Tribolium castaneum: one gene and its partner. The protein of the gene in region 1 binds, or shares a complex with, the protein of each later gene. Links are inferred from orthologs where the notes say so. Each region holds a gene or a part of one and is shown in the gene's direction. Other genes may lie near its edges.

Region 1 (5,471 bases):
AGCGATTTTGACGAGCGCATTTTCCTGGGTGAGTGATTTTACAGCTAGTCCAATCATATGGCGAGCCAGCTGCGCAAACAGCTGACTGTCTTACCTGAACAGATGCTCCTGACCTTGCCCTAACACCTGTTTCATTCCAGCTGAGTACAAAAGAAAACTTCTAGTGAGAGACCAGAGTGTGGCGCAAAATGCAGGTAATTTGAATCGAGAAATCTATGATCAAACAATTGAATTTTGCAATTTCAGCTGACAACGCAAGTCCGGAGTTATCGACCAAAGAAATGGTATTTTATTTTTGTGTGTGGTATTTTTTTTACGTTTGTTAATAGGTTGTTAGTAAAGAGTGTTTGACGCCGCTCACTGGCCGCAAATATTTGGGCCCGAAGGAGTCGCAAGAGTCGACTCCGCTTGTGACAGCTACTGAAAGCATTTCAAGGCTTAATAACTTGCTTCATGGGCGCCAGCCGGCCCCCAGTGAGGCTTTAGTGCAATTGTTTGAGTAATTATGACGCCCAGAGTGGTTGAACGTGTCTATGATGATGTTTTAAGGTCTTGTGCTCGCAATCCAACTGAGAGAATCAATCAAATTGTTACAAATTTGGGGGAGAGGTTTCTGGAAGGCCACCCAGTTGACCAAAGAGAAGTAGCACAAAGGCGACTGCAGCTCGCGACAACTTTGTTTTATAAATTTATTGAAAGTATTCTGCAGAATGAGCGCTCAATACATGCTGATTTATCGGTATGTTTTTTAATTATTATTTGTTCTGTAGTATTTTTATTGTTTTTTTAGGCCATTGTGGAAAAAGACGTATTTTACGAATGTATGTTTGCTTGTTGTTTAGAAATTGTTATTTATTCATACAATAGTCGGCAAAGGTTCCCCTGGATATTGAAAGCACTGCAAATACAACCATATAATTTTGTTAAAGTGATTGAACTTATCATTCGCTCAAGAGATAAGCTTTCAAGGGACACTATCAAACACCTTAATATGGTAAGAACATTACAGTCGGGATGTTTTTTTGATTTGAGATTTCGTGAAACTGTGCAAAAAATCATAAAATTTTCTCAAAAATAGACCAAAATATGTTTCAATATACTCTCCACCTCTAAATAAAATTAGTTCGTCAAATTAAAAAAAAGCGGAAATTATGAAATTAGTTCAAAAATAGTGTAATTTTTCGCCATTTAAACACGTGTTTGCGCTAGAAACTAAATTTGTTCGTGAAATTACGCTGAACTGGGGCAGAAAAAAAACTAGCAGTGACATTTATTTCCTATTTAAGAGGGTTTTAACACGGTTTGCATATGTAAGGACACAATTATTTTAAAGAATTTTGGCGCAAGTTTAAAGAAATTAAATTATTGTGCTCGAAAACGGTGTTATTGTCTGGTTTTTTTTGAACTAAAAAATTAAATTACGTTAAATGGTTTAAGTATATTTTCTAGTTAGCAAATTTTTAATTTAAGACGAAATCTTTAAATTGAAGCGGTAAGTACGTGTTTGAGCTAAAAACTCATTTTCTTCGCTAAATTTCGCTAATCTCTGCCAGAAAAATCGTCAAAGTCGGTTGAGAATGTCATTTATTTTGCTTTTTTTAAGGGTTTAAACGTGTTTTTCATCAAGAAACGCAATTATTTTAATCTTTTTCGAGAAATAAAACACATTTTTGAGCTCAATAGTCAGGTTTTTCGCGACGTTTTGATAAACTGGACTGAAAAATCATTAAGAAATTAGGTCAAATTGATTTTTCTACACTATCTTGTAGACAGGTTTTATAAAAATCCTCTTCTTTTAATCAATTTTTGAAAGTTTTCAAGGGCCATATAATAAGAAATGCATAACTGTATTTTATTTGAATATTTAATTGTCGAATTTACGAGTAAATATTTTGTTTTAAAGCTTCAGATATCTTCTACATATAAAGCAAACAGTGAAGAAGGATTATGATTTATTTCAATCACTGATAATTTATTATAATTAGTCAGCAGTTTCTGTTTCTCATTCTGTTCTCCACCTTTACTCTGTTTTGTATGAAACTGTCGTTTTTAGATCGAGGAAACTATACTTTCCTCGCTGGTCTGGAAATCAGACAGTTTAATTTGGGAAGCAATAACATCTTCCGATAGGGAAGTACCGAAATTCGAAGAGACGGCTTTGCCAGGGCATATGCAAAATGAACCAAGTTCTGAAAACTTAACCTTGAGAAGTATTCTCAATTCTGAACCAAGTATTTTTGCTATTTTTTATGTTATACGATTGTTACAAAAATAATTGTAGGACAAATTGTATCGCCTGGCCCTTCTGCAACAGACCGGTTTCAGTCACCAGTAGCACACAGCAGTGCTGTGAATAGAGAATTGTTTCCTACAGTTCAGTCAGGTCAATCTCTACTCCAAACGACTCATTTGAGTAAGTTTTAATCAACTAAATTAACGCATTTATCAAAATTTGCGTTTTTTAGTGATTAAAGATCGTACTGGGAATACTCGCATGATTCCTATCGTAAATAGTGAAACGCAAAAGAGCACCCCGGTGCCAGTTCAACAGACGACTCCACAACGTCAGGAGAATGTAGCTCAAGCCAGGCCGAGAAGAACAGGAGGTGTGTCAATAGTATTCAGGAAAGTAAGTAAAGTCCCGTTAAAATTTATAATTTTGCGGTTTAATGGCATCCAAGTGTTAAACAAATCTGCTCTACTTTCTAGAATTGGGTTTATTTCAGTGTAGTAATTAAACGCTTTTATTTTTTCCGTGAATTGTTAAAATTTTATATGCGGTCGTCATGGGTAAAGAATGACCATAAATCCGTGCACAAGTGCTAACAAAATTTATATTACCCTACTAACAGATGTCCACTAAAGACACATTCGTAATTTCAGTTCTATAATTTATCTGGAGAACGGATGGAGCACCTGTGCACACACTTAAAAATCACAAACACGGACACTAAGCGCAAAATCTGGACGGTCTTTGAGGAACTGGTTCGCAAAAACCACTGCGAATTGATGAAAGACCGCAATTTGGACCAGCTATTAATGTGTGCCGTCTACATGATATGCAAACTTACGAAACTCAACAAAAATTTTACGGAAATTATTAAAAGTTATAGAAGCCAGCCTCAGGCCACGAGTGACATTTATCGCAACGTTCTGATAAGCAGTAAAAAAGTCGTGGTTGTTGGTAAGCTCCAAATGACGCAGTTTGCGTTTTTTCTACGGAATATTTCAGATGGGGAGACGACCGAAATTCCGGAAGAATGGGGTGACTTGATACAGTTTTATAACAAAGTGATCATTCAAGCAATGAAAAAGTTTGCGCAGAAATTCGTAGTCCGAGGCGAGGAAAACGTAAGTTCGAAAATGTTTTGTTTGTAACGTCTTATTTTTGTGATTTAGATCGGAGATATACTTTTGAGTCCACTGCCGGCGTCCAGGGGGCAAGTGGTCCAAGTGTTTGACAACATTTTTATCAAGCCACTGGAAAGTCCGACTTTGACTTTCGGCAATGGCAAAGTCCTGAACTACTATTTCAGCCGAAGTCCTTCTAAGGACTTGAAAGACATCAATAAGGCCATAAGGGGCAATGGTGTGACGGGAAAACGATTGCTAGTGGAGGGCGAGAACGACTTGCCCGACTCGAAACGTCTGGCAAAGAGAAAAGTGCAGTCTTTGATTGAAGAAAGAAGAAATCAAAACACTGAATGAAGTTTCATTTAGATTTTAACGTTTATTATGTATAAAGTTTAATTCTAGCATAATTCAAACTTTTTTAATTCTAAAAATATTAATTTTTTCGATTTTGGCACCAGTTGATGCTGGCGTCTGGTTTTTGTTCACTGTTCTTGTGATATGCTTGGAAGTTTCCCTTCAAAGGGTCGAGTACTGAAACATCTAAAATAATTTATCTCAACTTTTCGTTTTAATTAATTAAATTACGTCAAAGTTTTATCGTGTGTTTGCCTTTTTACTTTATCAGCAAAAATTTCGTCGTAGGTTGGTTTGTACGAAGTAAACTTCACGTCTATTTTGAATAAATTGACCAATTGAATGACCATGTTTGTTTAAGTCTCCTTTTACAACCACAAGTGCCGAATATTATTTTTTGTCCAAAAATGATTGAAGAACTTTTATTAGCCTTGTCCTTATATCCATTTCTAAAATTATCTTCGTCTTATCAAGTATATTTTTTCCAAACTTAAATGGCGCAGTCAGTAGGATTAACTTAACATCTTTTCTACAAAATTTGTGGACTTTAGCCTTGGTTCTAATGTTTATATTACAGCTTCAAACATGAGGAGACCTTAGCAAGTCATTTTTCTTTTAACAGAAAAAAATAGTACACGTTTTGCCAGGCTTTCAAAAGCAAATTGTTTTAACCCAATTAATAAACATTTACTTTTTATCCCAAATCCGTTAGTTTGTGTTTTTTCTTGTTACGATTTGACTTAATTTCGCAACAAGAATTTTTTGATTTTTTTGACTCGAAGATATACAGGGTGGCGCTTAAAATTACCAGAAGCCGCTCCAAACGCTAGCTTGAAGCATCGTTGTTGAATTAAAATCTTCGAGTATTTACTTATTTAACATTTGCTCTGCCAAAATATTTACCAAGTATTCTCCCAGTTGCATCTTTTTGGGGGTAGTTTTGTTTTTATTTGGCTTAAGGCGCTTGCGCACGCGACTGGCGCGCCCTAAGCGCGACTAGCACCTGTTACATTCTTCATTGTTCAACGAGAAGCCGGCCGGCATAAAGTGCATAACCGTTATTTCCTCCGCGTGTGCTCTCCAAACTTGCACCATGTCTGAACAAGCTGAAACCGCCCCCACTACGCAAGAGGAGCAGAAGACCGAGGCCCCAACTGAAGAAAAGGACGTCAAAGAGAACGGCACCGGCGAAGCCGAACCTGTTGCTGAACAAGAAAAAGAAGCCCCGAAAGAAATGAGGGCTGTCGTCCTCAACGGATTCGGAGGCCTCAAGTCGGTCAAAATACTCAAAAAGCCCGAGCCTGCTCTCAACGAAGGCGAGGTTTTGATCCGAGTCAAAGCATGGTAAGGCTTTAGTTGCTATTGATTTTTTTAATTATTTCGCGGTCTGCTGATGCGAAAATGCAGCCTACACGCCTCGCGAAATCAATTCGATCGCGATATGTTTTATCTTTATCGCAATTTCGGTTTTTGCCATCGATTTTCTTTCGTTTCTCGCCTCTTCGTCACTTCTTCTCTTTATTAATGTATTATTCAATTGGGCTAATTACTACGAGCTATAGTAATTAATTCGTCTTAAAACACGATGCTTAACAATGCAAGGAATGCGGCTTTTAATTAGAACAATCAAAAGAAGAGGAGAAACTGTCGTTTTCACACCAATCCCATCATTCACAACTGAAAATACGAGTAAAAATACTTCACTCCCAGTTAGTTTATTGGTTTGTGTGGCTTCTCTGAAATTAAACGCGTTCATTAATTTA
Region 2 (5,005 bases), on another chromosome or scaffold:
ATTACTCCCTAAAAGTGAGTTTTTTAGCTTAACTAATTATCAAGGTGACTTTATTTTTAAGGAAAATTTGGCAAATTGTTTTACTTTTTCACACATAAAACGAGTTAATCTTAGGGAAAGAGATAAAATTGAATCAAAATAACATCACTTTCCCGCACGGAAGGAAATTCGTCAAAAATGAGTGAGTTTTTTATTCAAAATATTTTTCAATGTAGAGGAGGGTGGAGTAAAATGATCCATCTAAGAGAAGGATTATGATGTGCTAAATTTTTAGACCTTTGGTAAAAGATTATAATCTTCTAAATCGGAACCATGATCGCACTACTAGTTTTCTTGCTTTTTGGAGGGGTCATTTTACCCCAGTTTCCCCTAATTAGGTGATTTTTCATGGTTAAACAAAATTTAGCTTTGATGTTGAATTCACGAGCCGCCACTGAATCGGCACTTTTTAATAGTGGTCCATTGAATTAATTTTGAATTTTAACCTTGATTTTAGGCCGGAACCGCAAAACGTAAAATTACTCAAGCGGTTAGGGAATTTTATTTATTTGGAATTTCGGGTTTTACTACTTAAAATTCAGGTGTTGCGGTTTTCTTAATATTAGCAATGCTAATTTTTTAAGAAGATATCGATCACTTTGTAGTGTCAACGTTCGCTAAATAATAATTCTAATTCTGGACTGTACTATTAAATGATTTATTTTTAACGTAGCCACTTTTTCCGTGTATTTTCTTCCTTATTTTACTCTTTACAAACAAAGACATAATCGCGTGCGGCCGTTTCATGTTTGACCTATCGAAGTTTTATCACAAACGCGACAAATTAATGTTTACTTGACTAGCATTTACCTATCAAGCAGGTCAACGGACTAAATAAAGAAAAAACTATTACAACAGATGTAATACAAGAAAAAATTGCGTCAAGTGATATCACGAATGTTTTTCTTCGGATGTCGGTGTGTTAACAACCTGACGTAGTTCAGATAATGCACACTTTGTGACGTTATACGAGGCGATAAGTTAGTCTTTTAATCACTTAGTGGTGGTCGCCTATTAATAACAATTGTAAATATTTTTAATTAATGAATGACACAAGTGGAACACCGCCAGATTACTTAATTCGTAACATATGCTGACAACGTAACTTTAAAAATAACACACCCTTTGAATCAAATGGGACCATCCATCAACTGATGTAATTATTTACCTAAGTACCCAATTACTCACTTGATCTAAATATACACAATTCATAAAAGACTAACATAAATATTGACAGTGTTTAAACAAGATTAGCTCGCAATTTCCAGACTTACCTGTAACGATTTGTTCCTCCTGGGGTTTATCCTCGTTTCTTTTGAAAATAAAATCACCGAGGGCCCTGGAAAGGGCCAAGTTCCCGTTAACCCTGTTGTAATCAACAAACCCTCCCGCCGCTACGATCCTGTCGTACTCCTCCTTGTTGTTCGGCTTGTGGTCGTTCGAAAGCGGCTCCGCCTTGCCCCCAATGCTCGCCACAGCTCTAGAGTCCCCCACGTTGGCGCAGTACAACGTGCCATTTTTGATAATAATAGTGACGGCTGTGGAGCCCGACTGCTCGTTTCTCAACGACTCATCCTCCAGCATGACCCGGTCGATCTCCAAGAAGGCCTGCTTCAGCCCCTCCTCGATCTGGCCGTTCTTGTACTCCTCCCGGTTCGTGATAAACTTGTGCAGGTGCTTGCCCGCGTACTCCGAGATCTTGGAGCCCCCATGCCCGTCGTAGACCGCGAAAAACGCGGCCTCGGGGTCGTCCGGCAGGGACAAGATGTGCGTATGGGAGTCCTCCATGTTGATGCGCCAGCCCTGCATCGAACTTGAGCCCACTTGGAAATTGGCGTTTTGGCAGCATGCTGTGTTCTTGGCAGTCACCGGTTCGGACAAAGTTTGACCCATAGTACCCCTGAAAGGGCGATAAGTCCGCAAAAAGCGCAAAAACACGAGGCAAGCGGGAAAAAACCGTCGCTACTTACTCAAAATTGAACTCTGCTCTTTGGATGGGTTTTATTTAGCATACTTGTGCTAAATCGAATCGCATATTTTGCGTACGCTAATTAACACCGCTTTTTGCTGTTGTGTGTCACGAGATATGGAACGCAATATTTAGGTTAATCGGGAGAGAACTCTTCGAAAAAAGAGAAACTTGACGTTTGAATGTCGAGCTGGGACGCGGCCGGCTGAGTGCGTCATCGCCTGTGCACAAGGCCGAAAACTTTTTTATGTCCTAAACAATAAAAATGTGCGGCACGTTCTTCAAATAAAAACTATTGACAATAAATTCGTTGTTACTTATTACTAATTAAATTACGATTTGATTTTACAATCTTGGCGAGGGAAGCGCCAACATTGCGACACTTAATACACCAGCCAAATTTAAAAACCAAACTTTTACGAAATTGGGGGCAAGTGAATCGGGGTTGACACCCAATTAGGGTCATTTGCGACTTTTGCTCGTTCTGTATAGTGTTTCTTTGCCGCTTTCAAAGTCCCCCTAAAAGCGCAGCCTTTTGATTACGTTTGCTGCAGTTGGCACAATTGCAAGATGGCGTCCGAGAAACCCGGGAGCATTGAACAAGGTAAAGCATTTTTAATAAAAAATCACCCTGTAAATGTTACTTTTGGCTCAATTTAATTATTAAACGATTGTTGAGGCCTTGCATGGACAGTTTACGCGAAATTGTCGGCTAGCGTGCGTGGACAAGTTCGCATTTTAAACAGAGTGGCTTATGTCAATCTGTCAAAATATAATTGATTTGTTGCATTTCCTAGAGCAAGATCAATCTTTGAGCGATCTAGAGCAGACCTTAATGAGTATGGAAAATCTGGATAGAGCCTCTCCAGAAATTTGGCCAGAGAAGTGTAAGTAGCGTTGCACATGTTTGTGGGATTAGGGCAATAATAGGGTTTCAGATCCAGGAATGACAGATTTTGTAAACAGTTTCACGCCACCAAGTGCCGTAAAACTGCCTTACTCGAAGGAATTGAGTCAGGATGACCAGAATTATCTGCACCGTAAGTTTGGATTAGTTTTTGTGTGATTGTAGAGAAGAGTGTGGTTTTTGTAGAATTAGCAGCTCTTCCAACAGCTGGACTGATTTCTAAAGTCAAGGAGTTGCATGATATTGCATATCAGTTGGGTGTTGAGGAATCGAAAGAAGTCACAAGGGGGAAATACTTAAATGTTTTTAAGCCCAGGCAGAAGCAGAAATGATTTGCAATTTGTTACCTAAGTAGAGGTTCCAAATAACGTGGAAGTTATAAAAAGAGCAGGGGAAATATATTTGTACATAGGATTATAAGTTTAAGTTTAAAGAAGTGATTGTACGTTAATTTCCTGGAGAAAATCATTTTTGTAATGTATTATTAAGCAAGTGCTTCAAAAGGATTTATGTATTATATTGCACTGCTGAAGTTTCGTTTGTATAATAAAAATCGAAAATAAATTTGGTTTTGTAAAAGGTGTCTTCATTTTCTACAATTAAAATTTTGTTCCCCGTTAGCTCACCAAAACAATAATGAGGTGATGCATTATTATTATTATTATTATTATTATTATTACTGAACCCAGCAGCTTCCTAGATTAAAAATATCCGGTGGAATGTAAATTGATAATTATTTTTGCAGGAGATTAAGCTCTCTAATAGGGCCTTCAACTGTAAAAAATCATGTTCGGACAAACATTCCTTAGGACCTTAACATTTTTTTAATTTTTATAAAATTTCTCGATTTTGCAAATTGCGTTAAAAAACTCGTATTTAAGGATTGCTCTAATTAGTCAAATTAATAACTCATTTGTCCAGCAAGAACCAGAAGAAGGTTTAGAACATTCTTGCCAGGAAAAAAGGAATTAAGGATGAGGTAAACAATGATTATTAGAAAATAAAGGAATTATTTATGAAAAAAAAACAACACATAAATCAAATATTTTTTACTTGGCGTTAAATAAGATGCACCTACCTTCATATGGTTTCTGCGTTGGCTACTGTTTGTAGTTTGAAAATGTAAAAATTTTTACTTTTATGAATTTTGTGTCCGTTTCTGCTCTTTTAGAGCGTTATTAATTATTATTGAGTAGGTTTAAGGGTAGACAAATCTTCCTTGAGTCAACGACATAAACTTTAGTGTGATTTATTGAAATGTCTATTGGGCAAAAATAAACTTTTCGTGTCAAACATTTACATTAAAAAGGGTGTTTGATCGTTTATAAAGGGCGTGTACAAGCACAAGTACAACAACTTTTCTGTAAAAGCATTTTGCAAAATTTTTATTCATTATTTTCACTATTTTCCTTCTTTCCGGTAATAACTGATTCACTCTTCGGGGACTATTTTGAATATTGTAATAAATTTTCAAAGTTTGCGAAGAAAATGTTTTTTCGCGTAGAATGGCTGCAACCAACAATCCACTCTTGAAGAAAAACGCTTTAATTTTAATTAAAAACCAAAAGTCACTACTTATTTTCATTGAATTACATTGAACACTTATAAAAATTGTTAGTTCCCTTCATGTTGTTGAAAAAAAATATTTTGACTGCTGTTTGATGTGAATTATGTCCTCGCTTCGTTTTAAAAACGGCCTGAACTTTTGTAACTTTACTCTGGCTTGAATCAATGCTTTAGCTTCAATAATGCCGTTTCCATATTTTATATCCTGACCTTGTAATGGGCCTACAAAATCTCAATCAGATTCAATAGCTTCGTCCTTTTACAAACTCTCATTTCCTGCATTATATCCAAAAAAAAAACTGTCCAATACGCTTAAAAATTTCACAAAGAAAGTCGAAGTAAAGATATAAAATAGTGTCGTAACATCAATTACTAAATTTGTTTACCGTAATAATGTCAATAAAATGTTACACTGATCATTACAACATTATTTATTTAATGGAATTGCTACAACCATCTAGGTCCATTTCGCATAAATATAAAACCTACGCTCGGACCCAATTATCTCAAAACTACACCACCTT

What was found. The genes of interacting proteins can lie anywhere in the genome.
Region 2: retinoblastoma-like protein 1 (region 1) and lin-52 share a complex: the UniProt entries of both Homo sapiens proteins name them as parts of the DREAM complex. The link is inferred for Tribolium castaneum from reciprocal best matches to the Homo sapiens genes RBL1 and LIN52.

What each region holds. Positions count from the first base shown.
Region 1 is NC_087396.1:19,759,302-19,764,772, forward strand, and holds the end of retinoblastoma-like protein 1, read left to right. Parts: coding exon 1-28; intron 29-140; coding exon 141-194; intron 195-246; coding exon 247-284; intron 285-329; coding exon 330-499; intron 500-549; coding exon 550-739; intron 740-790; coding exon 791-994; intron 995-2,053; coding exon 2,054-2,231; intron 2,232-2,281; coding exon 2,282-2,413; intron 2,414-2,465; coding exon 2,466-2,629; intron 2,630-2,883; coding exon 2,884-3,184; intron 3,185-3,232; coding exon 3,233-3,351; intron 3,352-3,399; coding exon 3,400-3,708; 3' UTR 3,709-4,055; downstream 4,056-5,471. Other genes in the region: synaptic vesicle membrane protein VAT-1 homolog-like, read left to right, coding at 4,802-5,052. UniProt on the Homo sapiens protein: Key regulator of entry into cell division. Directly involved in heterochromatin formation by maintaining overall chromatin structure and, in particular, that of constitutive heterochromatin by stabilizing histone methylation.
Region 2 is NC_087402.1:6,134,843-6,139,847, reverse strand, and holds lin-52 (protein lin-52 homolog), read left to right. Parts: upstream 1-2,464; 5' UTR 2,465-2,578; coding exon 2,579-2,612; intron 2,613-2,805; coding exon 2,806-2,895; intron 2,896-2,946; coding exon 2,947-3,048; intron 3,049-3,101; coding exon 3,102-3,247; 3' UTR 3,248-3,494; downstream 3,495-5,005. Other genes in the region: probable protein phosphatase 2C T23F11.1, read right to left, coding at 1,314-1,932.